Linked DNA regions of Mytilus edulis. The protein of the gene in region 2 interacts with the protein of the main gene of each other region in a biochemical or structural test. Links are inferred from orthologs where the notes say so. Each region holds a gene or a part of one and is shown on either strand. Other genes may lie near its edges. The genes, in order: fibroblast growth factor receptor substrate 2-like and tyrosine-protein phosphatase non-receptor type 11-like.

The links.
Region 1: the proteins of tyrosine-protein phosphatase non-receptor type 11-like (region 2) and fibroblast growth factor receptor substrate 2-like interact in a test that uses a peptide from one of them, tested with the Homo sapiens proteins (2 studies listed by BioGRID, with this or other methods). The link is inferred for Mytilus edulis from reciprocal best matches to the Homo sapiens genes PTPN11 and FRS2.

What each region holds. Positions count from the first base shown.
Region 1 is NC_092353.1:43,621,674-43,630,474, forward strand, and holds the start of fibroblast growth factor receptor substrate 2-like, read right to left. Parts: upstream 3,539-8,801; 5' UTR 3,412-3,538; exon of another isoform or gene 3,204-3,411; intron 1-3,203. Other genes in the region: xaa-Arg dipeptidase-like, read left to right, coding at 7,504-7,869. UniProt on the Homo sapiens protein: Adapter protein that links activated FGR and NGF receptors to downstream signaling pathways.
Region 2 is NC_092356.1:58,021,806-58,031,191, forward strand, and holds the start of tyrosine-protein phosphatase non-receptor type 11-like, read right to left. Parts: upstream 3,419-9,386; 5' UTR 3,272-3,418; coding exon 3,192-3,271; intron 1-3,191. UniProt on the Homo sapiens protein: Acts downstream of various receptor and cytoplasmic protein tyrosine kinases to participate in the signal transduction from the cell surface to the nucleus. Positively regulates MAPK signal transduction pathway. Dephosphorylates GAB1, ARHGAP35 and EGFR.

The DNA.
Region 1 (8,801 bases), on a different chromosome or scaffold from region 2:
CATATATAAATGTTGATACCAAATTACAGAAAGGGTGGATGTGTAGTTCCTGAGAAAAATGTGACGAAAGTTTCATGGGACAGACTGACTGACAAACGGATGGACAGACAGAGGTAAAACAGTATACCCCCCCTTTTTTAAAGCGAGGGTATAATAAAGCGGGGGTATAATTAGTTTAAGTTTAAAAAGGAAAGATGTCAAACAAATCTTCTTTTCTTGTTTTTTTGTTAATAATTATACTTTGTTCATCAAAGTTGGATTAAAATTTATTTTCTGCAGAATGATTCTACTTGTCCCATCGGAAAAGCTTGGTATAGCTTTTACTTGTCCGACCTTTTTTACCTCTGGTACCGGACAATCGGACAAGCGTTATTGTCGAGGACTGCACTTATTTTCTATCCATGGCAACATCTACTTTACCTTTATATATACAGTCAAACCTGACTAAACCGGACCCTGAATAAACCGGTTTCCTGTCCATTCCGGCCGAAAATGAAAGTCCCAATTTTTCTCCTTTAAAGTCTTTGTTAAAATACCCTTTGTAAACCGGACCCTGTGTATTCCGAATTCCGGACTAATTATGAAGTTCCAATACTGTTAATAACATTAATTATTACCTGTCAAAACCGGTTTGTCTAATTAATTTCAATGATCGATATACAATCAAAACATATTTGTTTATACAATATGGCTTTTCAAGTAATCAATTAGTCAGGTGTTAAACTGTGAACTTACAATCGTACAGTAGTGAGCTGTATTATTTATTAAAACATTATAAATGATCAATTAAACGAAAAGAAGACACAACGAATATATCTCGGAGTGAAATTACGTTGTAACTTGGATAAACAAATTTAAATCGAGGAGTAAGAAATTTCGAAGTCCCGGATTCCCTGTTATGAACCCCTAAACAAATGACCTTGATAATGAAAAACACCCGGATGACAACAATCAATGGGTATTGTACGCTGTACGACAACGTTTCGATAGTGATGAATATTACGTTTGATGATATTCTGGCTTTTTAATCGGCCATTCCAACATTTTAAATTAATGATCATGGAAGTAAATGGAAACTCTTGTCTGACAATCCAAAAAAAAGCGAGCATTATGATGCAAATGAAAACAATGAAAAACGAAGTGAAGTATTTTAATTTATGAGATATAATTTACAATCAGAGAGAACTTTTACATGCAAAATATCGGACGTCACAAGTCAGTAACTTCCGGTCAAAACGGAAACCTGAATAAACCGGCTCACCGTCCAAACCGGCCCTTTTTCATAGTCCCGTAGCCGGCCGGTTTATACAGGTTTTACTGTATAAAGATCTATAAAACTGTATTTCCATTATGCAGGCCTCTACAATAACTTTTTTTCAACTTGTCCTGTAGGACAAGTACATACCAAAATTTACTTGTCCGAATGAAATCGTTACTTGTCCAAAAATTTCTATTAAAAATAACCTTTTTACATGTTTAGTTGATTAAAGGAGCAAAACGAATTTAAACAATATAACGGAATTTGATGTATTTTTTTTTAAATACTTTTCAAAAATATGAGTCAAGTACAACTGCTAAACTAGTCATATCACAGGAATTAGGTTCTAGTTTCCATCAATGCTAGTCTCATCAGACTCTAATCATGAGGCACCATCTGATAGGCCTGTACACTCATTGGATTTGTATTCTGTTTGGGTTTTTTTTTAAGTTAAAAAAAGTGTATTCAAATGCAATCAATAAAAAGAAGAAGATAAGCCATCATAAGGTCTGATTGCCAATGAGACAACTCTCTGCAAAAGGCCAAATGACACAGAAATTAACAACTATAGGTCACCATATTGCAAGTATTGTTTTTTTTCTACTTATGATCAAATATATGATTTTGTGAATTTTATGGTAAATAAAAAAAAATATTTTTGTGAAAAAATTACGGGTATGGTATTTATTTTAAGGAATTGAGCTGCTTACCATCCACATCTGAGCAACTACTGTACAACCCTGGGACTTCTCCTCGGAAACCCTCTGGCCAGTTCTCTGCATGTCACCCTACACCTGTAACTGTCATTCTATGACCTGGTCAAACTTCATGACCATATCTAACATCGATCTGCCAGGCAATATTCTATATACATGGTTTATATCATTAGCAGATGCTCGTAGCACCATTGCCATGAAAAATCCATGGATGGTACCAGCAGGATTCAAACCCTCAATCAAGGGATCTAAAGGCAGCACTCTAACCAATTGAGACAAAGAAGATCTTCCCTAAATCAACTAGTTAGACGTACACGACTACCTTTATATCTCCAGGGCCGTAACTACCTATGAGGCAGGGGAGGCAACTGCCTCCTTGAATTTTCTACACCAAATTACCGGCTGAATCAGCTGTTTTAACCGCTTCTCCCGATCATACGAGAACATTATGGTTAATGCCTTAGTAAATGTAGTTCACCCCCATTCGTTGTAACAGGGACTTTCTATACTAAGTATATACTTGACTGTATTTAAAGTCCCTGTTTTTAGTTATATACATGTCTGTTCAGCTTTCAACAATATTGAAATTCAAGGTCCTCGATAAAAAAATTATCTTGCGTTCCATGATCTTAGTTGCTTTATATGTTTTTTTTTAACTTACCAGTTCGATTTCTAATAAAAATATCTTTAAATACAGGTAATAATTGTTTGCATAAAAATTGCTTCCAGGATCCAGCATTACTGATATTTCTTAAAGTAAGGAAATCGAAGAAAAACGGGTCATTTATAGCCATATTGAGAAAAAAATCCATGGTTACAATGTATTTAAAGTAAATAATTATAGGCCAAATAACAGCATTTAAGAAGGAGCCTTGGCTCACCCCAAACAACAATCTCAGCTTGTCTTTGCTTTAAAATGGTTTCTAACTTCAAGCAATACTGATGTCTCTTAGAGTAAGGAAATCGAAGGAAAACTGGTCATTTTTAGCCATTTTACCACCCCCCACCCCCTCTCTTGGGGGCCTCACTCAGTCAGCGGCCCCAAATTCCTGCCTCCCCTGAATTAGAACCCTAGTTACGGCCCTGATCTCCAGGTCTACAACACATACATGTACATGTAGCATGACATAGTTTCATAGGCCATACCCTCATGATCATCTTTCCTGGTTAAAACATTAATTTACAAAATAACGGAAGCAGTTGCCAAGCTGAATATTTCTACTACTCACATATTCTAAGCTTCAACGAGGGAAAAATCTTCATTCATCTACTGACAACGAAATGCTATATGTTATACGGGCTTGCGAAATTATAGTGCTGAGCACTACCACTGTCATGATCAGCTGTTGCATTTGGTAGACTTCATTTTTAAGATTCCCTGGTTTGTCACACACTGTGACGTATCTCTATTTTTAAAATATGTTAATGGGAGCTTACCTGCAATTAAAACTATATCATTTTCACTTAATTATAATGCAGGTGAGCGGTTCAAATCTTATAACACATGCCCATTTAAATCAGAATGTCAATAACTTCCGTTTGATTAAATTAACCTTGACCTTTCATCAATCCGATTTGAATCCGTGTTAAATTTTACAAAACCCCTTACAATCAAAGCACTACGAGTACTATTGTCTATAAGTGGAAGTTGAAGAAGCATTACACGCATTTTTTTATAAGAATTAAGAAGGATTCAGGCAATATCGTCAAATTTAAATGTAAATTTTGATGAGGTGATTTTAAAAAATAATGGTGCTTTGGTCAATTTAGATCATTCTAATTAAAAAGTCCTTAAATACATAATTTCTTCTTTGCAAGTAGACTTATCAATAAATTAATTATTTTATGAGAATATACAGGCTATTTCAATTGTTTCATGACAAAAAATGTGTTCCGGTAATTTTAATGGTATATTACATGGGGTGATGAAGTGTGGTTGTTAGTTGTCACCATTAACTTCAAACTAAAATATAAAATGCATATTAAACACATTTATGAAATGGACAGAGGCGGATTTAGGGGGGGGGGCGCAGGGGGCTCGCCCCCCCTTTTTGGGAAAAAATTTGGTTGCTTATATAGGGAATCATTGAAGTGTGACTGGAGCGGGCCCCCTCTTCAGGTCAGTCAGTGGGCCCCCACTTATGTAAATTTCTGGATCCGCCACTGATGGATATACTACTGTTGCGGAATGGAAAACATCAGTGAACCTTCTTTGAAAACCAATCGTTTTTTTATATTCTTTGTTATGTCAAATTTTAGTTACTGTAAACTTACTAGTCATTTTTGTGGGGAACAAATTATCGAGAACATTGAAAAAAATCAGGAATTGGCTCCTTGCTTATTAGAAAATGATTTCAAACCCACTGAGAAAAAAATCACGTATCACAGACTAATCCATCAATCATTCGTGACAAATCTCTGACGGTGACAGTTTAAACATGCTTCTGACACATCTTTAGTTACTCTGATGCTTATGTGTGCTTATATCTGATCATTTTAACCGAGGACTTAGCTGTATTCAGAAATTTTGTATGTTATAAGCTTCGTCCTCGTCCTCGGTCAATATTTAAGAAATAATTGATGCAAGCTATACTTTATTGTAGTTTTAACATGGGTAGGCATTATATTCTTGATTATTTTTGCCCGAGCGATAGTGAGGGCTAAAATAACACGGATATAATGCCTACCCATGTTAAAACTACAATATAGTATAGCTTGCATCAATTATTTCGATTCGGACTACATGATTAGGACAATTCAGGTAATTTCTATGGCCGATGTGTATAAGGGTAAAGTGATTGTGTAGGCTCTTCCGTGAATCTCCCTTTTTTGTTTGTAAAGAAGCAAACAGCTGGCACTGTGGTTTTTCAGAGGGAGGAGTTTTTGAACAGCCAGTATGAACGGCCAGTATGAACAGCATAGGTCAAATATGTCAATTTCGGAATGCAACACAATTACAGTCATAATAAATGAATTAGTAACAACAATGATATGCTTCATTCAAGAGTTTGGAAGTGTTTTAAGTTAATGAAATATATCAAATGCATGCCATTTTGATAAAATTCATTATTCTGCAGTAGTCAATAAACGCATGTGCAAAAAAAGACTATTGGATTTTAGAGCATGGGTTTATTCATAAAGCGAAAGAAGCACGTCATATTGGAATATCATATATAACGTATTGTCAAAAGTCCATAATTAATAAATAATTTAATTCGAATTACAATTTAGACTGGGTGTCTATACCACTGTTTAATGCAAGTTTACTGATTCGTATTAGTGAACATATTTCTAATGCGAATTGGATAATGCGAATTAGCTAATTCTAATTAAATGTACGTGTGATCGAGGCATTAAAGTAACGTTATTCAAAAACGTCGCACTTTTTCTGTCAAATTCTAAACATATTTGTTTACCGTAAAAAACAAGGATGTCGACATATGTTTTTCCATACATTCATGGATTCAGTATACAATCCTGGATTTTATGCTAGTTTTAGTCTTTCTCCGTATAAAATAACATAGCCATCAATTGGAAATTTTTATATGTTATTATATACGGAGAAAGACTAAAACTAGCATATATAAATAAGTAAATTTGTCGCCAAAATTGACGTTTTCTTCTTAAAATCAAAAGAAAAAATTTGGTAACCCCTATTTCTTATTGCACATTCCAATGAAACTCGATTGAAAGTACAAAAATGTACCAGTGTGCTAAAATATGTAGAAATTGCGAGATATCTGATTTGGTATCGCGCACATATATTTTTTATTACATATTAATTGATTTAATCAGGCCAAAAATAGCCTATATGCAAATTGTCAGCAAAATTTAGATATGGGATCAAAACTGAATCGTGTGCCCTTAAAAACACTCGATCCCGGAGTCCCGAAGGATCCGACCTTGCCCGTCCAAAATTAATACCACCATTTAAAAAATATGAAAGAATGGGTCATTTTGCTTTTTCTGTTAACCAGATTGTCGGTTGTCGACAATATCAAGTATATTTCTCATAATTGAACGGGGAAAATAAACGTGCGAAAAGAAATATGCAAGACGAATAGACACTAAACATCTGTTTTTGAGAATCCGAACTTATGTTTAACATTTCGATACCATATTGACATTACAACATAACCTTGCAATTGAGAAAAAACACTTTACATTCTTTTGAATTATTTAAAATAACCAAAAATAATGCTTCTGCTGCTTCTATGTAAAATGTTATTCTTTTGAAGTTTAATGTCTTTTAATATTCGATAGAATACTGTTTTCACCATTCTTTTTAAAATCACAATTCCAGGTATATATATGTTTTTTTTATGTTAGTATATCAATAATAAATACAACATTTATAGAGCGCATTATATAGTAACAACAATTACTCTAAGCGCTTCACATTTGAAAATAAATAAAATACAAAAATACATAAAACATAAATTACAAAGCACTGACTTAAAAGAATCAAACAAGCATTTAAAAAAGACACTAAAAAAAAATAAAAGGAATAAAAATGTAGTTGTGGAAATATGACAGACATATGCGAAACAAAAGACTGTGTGCTTGCATCATCCATTTGTGTAAAGCGGTTCATGAAACTCTGATAACTTGTACAAAAATTTTGTACAAATTATAATTTGTACAACATTACAACTTGTACACAACATATACATACCTTAAAATATACAAAACAGTCTAAAACTAATTATATAAATTCTACAATAAAACCTTAAAAGCAGTTCGAAATAAGTGAGTCTTGAGTTACTTTTTAAAAACATCTAAAGAATGTACACTCCACAAGGACAATGAAAAATTGTTCCATAGTGTAGGTGCAGCCTTGTCAAAACGCCTCTCATCGTAGCTTTTCGTTCGGACGTCTATTTTATATTTTCCGACCTGAGGGATTACTGGGTTTGTATGTCGTAATTAAATCTTGAAGGTAACTAGGAGCATTGCCATGCTGCGCTTTTTACAATATAAAAGAAGTTTATATTGGCAACGGTAATGTATGAATAGCCAGTGTAAAGATATAAGAACAGGCGTAATTGAGTCAAATTTATTTTTTCGTGTATTTAAACATGCTGCTGTGTTTTGGACCCACTGTAACTTACTGATAATGTTTGTGCTAGTACCGTACACCAATGGAAATTGTCACAGTTCAGCCTTGATGTAACTAGGGAGCACAATAGTACATTATTGTTTCCAAAAATCGGACTGAAGATGTATATTGTATCAAAATATATCACTTCTGGTAAAATGACGTTTGAAAAAAGTAATGGACATCAATATAAATTCGGATAAAATCTACAGACGAAATCTTGTTCTCAACTACAATGAAATGGCTCGGTGAGGTAAATTTCAAGGCTTTATCATAAATCGTACGTGTTATATCATTGACTTCAGATAAATTTATACATGTCCTAAAATATAAGTGGGTCATATAAATATTTTTCAACTTCAATTCTATCAAAAGTAAAATATATATGATACTCTGCATTTGTGTTGGTGTTCTCTCGCTGTATTGATAAAATGGATTTGTTGAAACAGTCAATATTTCAAGCAATTGATGAGGCGTCAGAAGAATTGGAAAAACTGAGCATTGATATATGGCGAAATCCAGAACTGAACTTTGAGGAACATCATGCGCACGAAATACTAACCAATTTTCTTGAATGTAAAGGTTTTAATGTTCAACAAAAATTTGCGATGGAGACTGGATTTAAAGCTGAACTAGGATCCACAGAAAATGGACCTAACATTGCCGTGATTTGTGAATATGATGCGTTACCAGAGATCGGACATGCATGTGGGCATAACTTGATTGCTGAAGCTGGTGTTGCCGCTGGTCTTGGAATAAAAGCAGCATTGAGGAAAGCAGAAAAACCATTTGGCAAGGTAGGTAAACATTTTATCTTGTGATTAACTAATACAAAGGAGTTACAAGACACAAGGAGACTGTAAACCTTAGCCTAAGTTCGCTTAAACGAAAGTCTTTTAGAGAGCTTGCATCTCACCATCAGCAACATCAATCCATTGGTAATACTTCGAAATTACGTTAGAATTAATTCGACATATGCATGTTTCTGAAAACATTTGAATTATCAGTTTTAGACAGTACCTTGGCAACTTCATTTATTGTTTCTTATTATCATTCAGTCAACGACAAAGCTTACAGAATCTTGAAAGTAGAGGCGAAATATACCAAAGGGTCATTCAAACTCAAAGCTGAATGCTAACTGGCAACGCCATACACCCCCGCCCCCAAATAAATCCCTCCCAAAACCTCGAAAAAGATCAAAAAGACAAGAAACAGTTACAAAACACAATGTAGAAAACCAAAGACTGCGCACACAAATCCAACCAATACCCGGGTTTATCTTAGGTGCCACAGGTGGATAAACAGAGGTTGATCCACATGTTGTCGTGTTGCTCATTTAAGTACAAACTCGATGATCAGTCTACTGAATTCTGTATGCCTCATTCGGAGAAAAGGAGGACGCGATTGTGGTTACCTCGATTAGAATATAGCCGTCGTACTCTATGAATCAGACATGCCGTACGGTGACCTTTAGTTGTTTCTTTCTGTGTCATTTGTTCTCTTGTGGATAGTTGTCTCATTGGCAATCATACCACATCTTCCTCTATATATAATTATATATTGTTACAATCAAATCTACTCTAGCATCGTTAGGTTGATTTTCTAGGCACTTTATACATATATATATATAAGAAAAATTTTAAAAGATAATAACGGTTTCAATTCATCACTTTTACTAGTACTTTCACTGCTTTCACAAATCTTCAGGTAATGTACTAGTAAAAGTGAT
Region 2 (9,386 bases):
GACTTATATCAATAAAAGGTATACTAATGTCAAAAGCTGATTTACCTAGGGCTGTAAATAAATATAAAATGTAGATAACAAATAATTTCACCAGTATAGCATATATAAATGTCAATACAAAGTAGCTGTTGTACAGGCAGGGGGTCTTAATATATTGTACATGTTTATGCAAGAATATCTTCCTTTTAGACATTGGCATAAATACATTGTACATGGAAATGGTATTAAATTGTTTAAAAACTCTGAATTCTAACTGTATGATTAATGTCATTACCGGTATGATGCGAGATGTATGCATTTCCCCCCAAAACCCACCCTGAGTGGACATAATAGATTTGGCAAGTTCCCACAATTGGAGGAATTTTTAAACTTATTTTTATTTTGCATTCAAAATAGTTATATAACTGTATAAGAAGGGAATAACTTCCAACATTTATGAAAACCAGCATTGAGTGAATTTTGATGATGCCTTTTTTTTTATCTGCAAAAACTTTTAAGAGGATGTGTGGGGACTGGAACTTGAGTTAATTACTTTCTTTTTTTAGAAGTTTTTCCTTATCATACGTCAAGTGATTGGTCCACTTAATGATAAGTAAACTTTTAATCTTCTTGTCAACAAGTGCAACTCAACGGTTTGCTTCCCTCTTTAGGGATTACCACTTAATATCCACTTTTCTTGACCTAATTTGAAAATTAATAAGGCCAATAATTTAGGATTGAAAACCAGCTTGTTTTCTTTAAAACTTAACTAATGATATTCCTTTATTTTGTTCCACAATGACAGCCATCTTTGATGACAAACAGTTTACTTCCTTCACTTTTATTGTCAGTTTGTTGGTGTTTCAAACAACTATCAACTAACTTTGCTATAATGATGGCCAGGTAGTTGGTGGAAAAAAGCAGGAGTAACAAAAGTGTCAACCACCAGCCTTCAACAGGAAAACCATAAATTCTTTAAACAAAGAACCAAGAACTTGAATCCCTCAATTAAATGAGCTATTACATGTATTATACTATATAGGTTAGATGATTGATAAAAAAGAAAAAACCCATACCTCTTCAAAACACACAAATGCCTGATAAAAAGGAGAAACACATAACTCTTTTAAATACCTAAATGACTAAAAAAAACAGAGAAAAACCATACAGCTTTTAAATACCTAAATGACTAAAAAAAACAGAGAAAAACCATACAGCTTTTAAATACCTAAATGACTAAAAAAACAGAGAAAAACCATCCAGCTTTCAAATACCTAAATGACTAAAAAAACAGAGAAAAACCATACAGCTTTTAAATACCTAAATGACTAAAAAAACAGAGAAAAACCATACAGCTTTTAAATACCTAAATGACTAAAAAAACAGAGAAAAACCATACAGCTTTTAAATATCTAAATGACTAAAAAAACAGAGAAACCAATATCTTTTAAACACTAAAGACAGATGAAACAAAGAAACCCACAACCATGACAACTCTTTTAAACACCTAAAGGCATGATAAAACAGTAAAAACCCATACCTCTTTAAACACCTAAATTACTGGGGAAAAACAGAGACAGAGAACCCCATACCTCTTTTAAACACCTAATAGCAGTTCAAACACCTAACTGACTGATAAAACAGAGAAAACCATACCTCTTTTAAACACCTAAATGACTGGGGAAAAACAGAGACAGAGAACCCCATACCTCTTTTAAACACCTAATAGCAGTTCAAACACCTAACTGACTGATAAAACAGAGAAAACCATACCTCTTTTAAACACCTAAATGACTGGGGAAAAACAGAGACAGAGAACCCCATACCTCTTTTAAACACCTAAATGAATTTAAACACCTAATAACAGCTTAAACACCTATAGCTAAATGACCGATAAAACAGAGAAACCCATATCTTTTTTAAACACCAAAATGAATTTAAACACCTAAATAACAGTTCAAACACTTAAACATGTTAAATGAATGATGAAACAGGGAAACCCATACCTTTTTAAACACCTACATGTAAATGACAGATAAAACAGAGGAACCCACATCTTCTTTAAAACTTCTACATGACTGAGAAAACTTAGTGAGAGAAACCCATACCTCTTTAAACACCTAAATTACTGGGGAAAAACAGAGACAGAGAACCCCATACCTCTTTTAAACACCTAATAGCAGTTCAAACACCTAACTGACTGATAAAACAGAGAAAACCATACCTCTTTTAAACACCTAAATGACTGGGGAAAAACAGAGACAGAGAACCCCATACCTCTTTTAAACACCTAAATGAATTTAAACACCTAATAACAGCTTAAACACCTATAGCTAAATGACCGATAAAACAGAGAAACCCATATCTTTTTTAAACACCAAAATGAATTTAAACACCTAAATAACAGTTCAAACACTTAAATGAATGATGAAACAGGGAAACCCATACCTTTTTAAACACCTACATGTAAATGACAGATAAAACAGAGGAACCCACATCTTCTTTAAAACTTCTACATGACTGAGAAAACTTAGTGAGAGAAACCCATACCTCTTTTAAACACCAAAATAACTGATAAAACAGAGAAACCCATACCTATTTTAAACACCAAAATAACTGATAAAACAGAGAAACCCATACCTCTTTTAAACACCAAAATAACTGATAAAACAGAGAAACCTATACCTCTTTTAAACACCAAAATAACTGATAAAACAGAGAAACCCATACCTCTTTTAAACACCTAAATTAATGTTAAAACAAAGGAATGCATACCCCTTTTAAACATCTAAATGACAGATATTACAGAGAAACCTATTATGGACACTATTGTACCTCTTTTATTAAACACCAAGTGACTGATAAAAGAGAAACCTATACCTCTTTAAAACTTCTAAATAACTGGAAAAAAATTAGTGAGAGAAACCCATACCTAATTAGGAACGATAAAACAGAGAAACCAAACAACAACAAATGGAAGTGTTTAACGACCTTGACTGGCTATACAGCCCTTGCACGGTCGGTAAAGAGAAACCAAATGATAACATGTACCCTTTTTATATATCTTTTTTTGCTGGGCTGGATATGTACATATTTAAAAAAGAAAACTTTACTGTTTATAAGTAAAAAGTAAAGTTTTATGTAAAGTGTGAATGAGTCACTTGTCTAAACAATTCACACTTGTCTTTTAAGAGTTATTATAACAGACCTACCTTCTTTGTTGGATAATTCTTGATATCCGGCCTTTAGCTTCATCAGTAATCCTATCTACTACCATGCCACCGGCTGACATGTTAACTCTGTCAACTTGTAACAAACTTTAAGTTTTTAGAGATGTTGTTTTCCAGTAATCTCGCTCATTTCCTTTGATTATTGATAAAGAGGAAACTTGCTTATAGCCAAACACTTCACGATCATTATGACTTATTTCCCCTTTTGAAAAAAATTGTATTTATAAAAACTTGTAGACAAAGTTCACTTGAAGTTTGATTGAATTGAAGATTATATGTTCGATACAAAGATAAAGCTGGCAAACCAGGCATGAAACATTTTATTTCCTGGTCTTTTCATGGTAAGAAAATCAGGTAACAATATATCAATATTTGCATAGTCGTTATATTCTCATTTTGATATCTTTCACTTTTACAGTTATAATATTGTCATTTCTTGTCATTCCTGTCTAGAATTTCAAAGATATGTACATGTATCAATTGACTGTCAACGCTTAAGATTTCCACTATTTTACAAAAAAACTTTTCTGCCTCAGACTCTATTCATTACATGAAAAGCCAGTCTATCCATTAAATGCACATTTCACTACCTGTAAACATGGTAAGTACTACATGAAATTCTTAATGCTGAAGTTTAATCTTTAACAATCTAGGCAAACAGAAAGTAAGGATGGATGAATAAATAGATAAGTCCTGTTACACGAATGCACATGTACCGTGGCCAATACACAACAGAATAAATTTAACACAGTCAGCATATAAGTAATTTCAAGGTAAGTTAGTATCTAAATTTATGTAGATATATAATTATGTATGTAACAAAATCCAGGTAAGCTTTGTCAAAATGCATTACACTCTTACAAGTTTTATCCAAATCTATTAACAACAACAAATCTAATTTCACAACTTGTAATAAACAAAACCCACAATCTTTTTAAATATGCATCTAAACCATTTTAACAGGAAGTAAATGTATGTATACATAAGTACATTGTACAACTTTATAAAATCACAGTTCAATAAGCTAGGACAATATTATACAAACTGGGAGGATTTAAATCTCTTCATGACTACATTACAATTTTACACCTCTTAATATGCAAAGTTTATTATCTTCAAAGTGTTAATTTGTTATCATTATAATTGGGCATCTATCATTTATCATTTACATGATTTATATCATATGATGTGAAAAAATGGATGAATAAGGAAACAAATACATGGATATACTTTCCATCTTGAACCCCCCAAAAAAACTAACAGATACAAACATTATGGAGTAAGTTTCATCAAAATAAGCACTAAAACATTGCAACTCAATAATTAAAGCTCATGGATTTCATATTCATGTGACTTTCAATTTCACCCCTTAAATCATTTTTGTAAATAGAGAAAGTGAAACAAGAGCAAGCTACTTGGTGGACTGATTCTATTCACAAAATACTATTTTTGCATTGGTAAAAAACAAATGGTTGACATTTTTTTCCATACTAAAATATAACTGACCTAGACAAATCTAATTGCACGTGCTCGCTATCTATTTATACTTATGTTCATATCTAGTTATTAGACAATCTTCAGTCTTCAGAGGTCATCTCAATGGTTAGTTAGATGACATCAAGCAAAGTCTTAAAAACACTTGAATTGCTGATACATGTATACAATGTTTTAATGATCTGTGCATTCTCAATTGTTTTATATCTAAGACTTTTTTGTAATTTGAATATATACCTTTTAGTACATGCTATAAATCAAATATAAGAATTTGAGTCAAATTAGTGAATATAAATTTTACAGCTATAAATGCTCTTTTTAGAATCTTATATAACATATATCTGTATATAGAGCATTATCTAACTCTTCAATTACATGAAGGTTGTAAATTTTCTTGAAAGTATCTAAGTTCCCCCAAGGACGTATGTTAGTTAAACCTCCTTGGTTCCCCCGAGTCCTTAAATTTAAAAATTTTTTTAAAACAATTCCATAAGGCCACACTTAAAAATATTTTGGTTTGCCCAAACCCTACCGAAAGGTTGAGACATTGGGAAGGTCGGCCTTTTTTTTTTTTATTTCGACAAAGAGAAATTGAAGTGTCAGATTTTTTTCAGTCATGACGATCTTATTAAAAAAAACACTTTTTCAAATCAAGGCAATATCCAAAGTTATTTTTCATTTACCTGTGTATATTATGAAACTGGTTTTTTTTCAAGAGTGATTATTTTCTAAGGGTTGTTAAATATTTTGGGGATGTCTTGCCATGGCTTTGTTTGGACTTGTTTGTTTGCTTTTTTGGCCTTGAATGTAATTGTCCCTAATAATTTGTGTGGTTGCATTCAGGTATCGCAGATCAGATTTATTCGTTCATGGTGGGTTGATTTACATTTTTTGATTGAGTTAAGCCTTCCAATTGATATTTTATCGTGTTTTTCTATGTTGTGATGTTATACATTTGTACTATTGTTTCAGAAAAAGGGAGAAGGTTTGGTACCATTAATGTTAATGTTTGCACCTGTCCTTAGTCAGGAATCTGATGTACAGTAAGTTGTCGTTTGTTTATGTTATTTATAAGTGTTTCTTGTTTTTTATATAGATCAGACCGTTGGTTTTCCCGTTTGAATGGTTTTACACTAGTAATTTTGGGGCCCTTTATAGCTTGTTGTTCAGTGTGAGCCAAGGCTCCGTGTTGAAGGCTGAACATTGACCTATAATGGTTTACTTTTGTGGATTGTTATTTAAGAAATAATTCTATCCTGCCATGCTCTATGCTCATTTTAACATGGGTAGGCATTATATTTGTTAATATCTTAATACCAAGTGTTAGCGATATAGGAATATTTGAACTTTTTCACTTCGAAGAGAACCTATAGTAGACGCTCGAAATGTCGCCATTTTCATTTCATGAACCAAAAACGTTATAGAAAATCAGCAGTTTCTCAATGAAAAAAGAACAGAAACATTTAAACTTACTTTTAGAATGTTTTTATTTAATTTCCTAGCAAGCAACACCAACAAAAATGTCCATTTTGATCTCTGGCGTTTTTCAAAATTCACCTGATGTTGCAATTTCAATTGTGACGTCAATCACGTGCAGCCCATGTTCTATTTGAATTAGAACATGGCTTTGTACCCAAAGCTTAAGAAGAACGTCATATTAGAATTGGATGGAGAGTTGTCTCATTGGCACGCATACCACATCTTCCTATATCTAATAAAAGATTTTGACTAGGCAGATATTTTCTGGGTAGGTAGGGTTAGGGCAAACAAACATATTCTTTTTTATGGCCTAATAAGTACATAGTAAGTGTACAACTTGAACATGTGCAAAAGCAGCATGATGTCATGGATGTGTACAATCTTTCTGAGAAGTCTAAGGGTTGAAATCTGTATGAGAAGTTGAGAAAAGCAGGAGATGTTAAACTTGGACACTCTTTCATATCATTGCTTAAAGTTGACTTAGTTTGAAAAAAATATCAAAAAGTTCCTAAAACAATTCCATAATAGCAGATCCATATACTGTATAACTTAAATATGAGATGTGCAATCTTGCAGTGAAGTTTGAGGGGAGTGGGTTGAAAACTGTACAAAGGAAGAGTTTGACCACTTTCATAAATTTTGTCGATACATACAAGTATATTTAATTATTTCTTTCGAAATGATTTAAACCTGTGCTTTAAGGAAGTAACTGTGCATCAAATATATAAATATATACAATTCAAATTTGTTCAAACTATAAAAGATAAAAGATTTAAAAGATAAGCTTGCTCTGTTATGTATGATATTACAGAAAAATAATTGATTTTTCTTCCTAAAAAGTAAAGTGAATACAGATTTAACCTTTGGAATAACAATAAAGTGGTAAATTTATTTAGAAGGAAGTTTCTCACAGGGAAGACTACAAGCATGATAAGGTATACAAACTCAAATTTTATTGATTATTTCAAACCTATAGGATTTAAAAAGCAAGTACAATGTTTACATATATATCTGTGTCAAAGAATGAAAGAAAGCAATCTATATCTTGGTAAATGACTCAATGATTATTTATCTATATATAAATCAAGGATACACATTAAAAAAAATGTTTGACTTGCATGACTTGTTGAGCCAAAATCTGCATACACATATTTGATACACGTCTTTAGAAAAACTGTACTATGTCCAGGGGCGGATCCAGCCATTTTAAAAAGGGGGGTTCCCAACCCAGGATAAAGGGGGGGTTCCAACTATATGTCCCCATTCAAATGCATTGTTCGACCTAAAAAAAGAGGGGGTTCCAACCCCCAGAACCCCACTCTGGATCCACCACTGATGTCAAAAATTAAAATTTGTGGTTCTGACACTATTATCCACAATTGGAATTCCGCAAATAATAATGAATCCACAGCATCTCAAATATATGTCCATATAACATTGTACAATGTAGTATATAACATGTATCATAAGGAAGTTAGTGTGTTAACTTATCCTCCCTTAATAGATAATAGATATAGAAATATGTGGTATGTCAGTGCCAATGAGACAACTCTCCATCCAAGTAACAATTTATAATTTAAGTAAACCATTATAGGTCAAAGCCTGTAAATGGGATTTCGACAGCTATTCATTTTTTTACTTTAAATGCTTCAAGAGCAAAACAATAACATCAAAAGTTCAATGTAGCATATTTTTTTTTAAAGACCCCTTCCCCTCTTTTCTTAATTTGGGAAAAATTGATCATGACCAATATGGATACATGTAAAATCGATGTCAATTAAAACTTGCAGCTTGCAACCCCACCCCCCTCCAACTCTATTTGATTTAAGTTGTTTATCCTATGTTGATTCTTTGATGTCGTCCCTTAGGAACTAGTCATGTTATTCTGCTAGGTTTGTGTGCATCCCTAACATTGTATGTAGACTAAATATGATTCATGACAAGAAAATATCTTTTTTTTCTTTTATTAGTACCAGTGTTCTCACTAAGGAATTTAGATGGCGAGTCCGGGGACTCGTCATGTTTGGCTGTGGCGAGTCCAACAGTAAGAACAAGATATTTCATTGCAAGATAATTCATCATTTAAGTCTCCATTACCCAATAGAGCAATGAATTTACATCAAATTCAGATTTCTTTTAAACTTTTGCTATTAAATGATGATTTGTGTGTTCAGTTTATACAAAATATATCAATCTTGATGCATCTTTGGACTCAGCAGTTTTGAAAATGATGAGTCCAGACAGATTTTCATGAGTCCAGGACTCATAGACTCGCCTTAGTGAGAATCTTGTATTACTGATCACTTTTTTTCTGTTCTAAGTTCATCTCAATCATGTCAATCACTTAACTTATATAGTATTAGTGCTTGATCAAAGCAGAATAGAGGAAAAATATTCATCCAAGGGCAATAACTCATGAAATGTAGTTCGACATATTTTGTGTACATTGTACAAGAACAGTCAGTACACTTACAAAAATGTACATACATGTATATGTGTCAACATTCTGTAATTTTCTGCTTCTGTCAGATTTTCTGTATCTGAAGTGGTTCACATAATATTGATATCCTGATTTGAACAGTCATTATTTATCAAATACAACAGCATCCATTCAATGTTTCTAAAATGGCAGACTTAGCTGAACTGGCCATGGGTTAACAACAAGACATTCAAACTTGCAATTAATTTCCAAAATACTGTGACTTATTAAATATGTACTGTTTATGTAGTACATCAATGTACATGAAATATGAAAGTGTGATAAATAACCTGTCCTTCAGACACTCCTTCTTTGGTAACAACTTAGAAAACTGAAAAAAGAAGAAAAAAAGGGCAAAATCTGGTTGGGTTCATGACTAAGGAGTAATTTTGTGGTCATTAGTCAATGGTCTAGACTATAGATATTTACAAATGTACTATTCTCCTTTATGCATCGATATACATACAGGTCATTCATCAAACAAGGAAACATTAAAGGATCTCATCAACATTCACCTCTCAAGGTCAAAATAAAGTTATTACCATCAAATTACCATTTTCAGCACAGTTTTCACAGTAAATACTGTACATAAATTGTAAGTCAAAATCTGCTTTTGCAAGTTAGTAGTTACATGTACAAAGATAAGGAAATATGTACATGATGTAACAAGACTAATCAGATAAAGCAAATTAATCCTTAAAATTGCTAATAATTTTAAAAAAAAA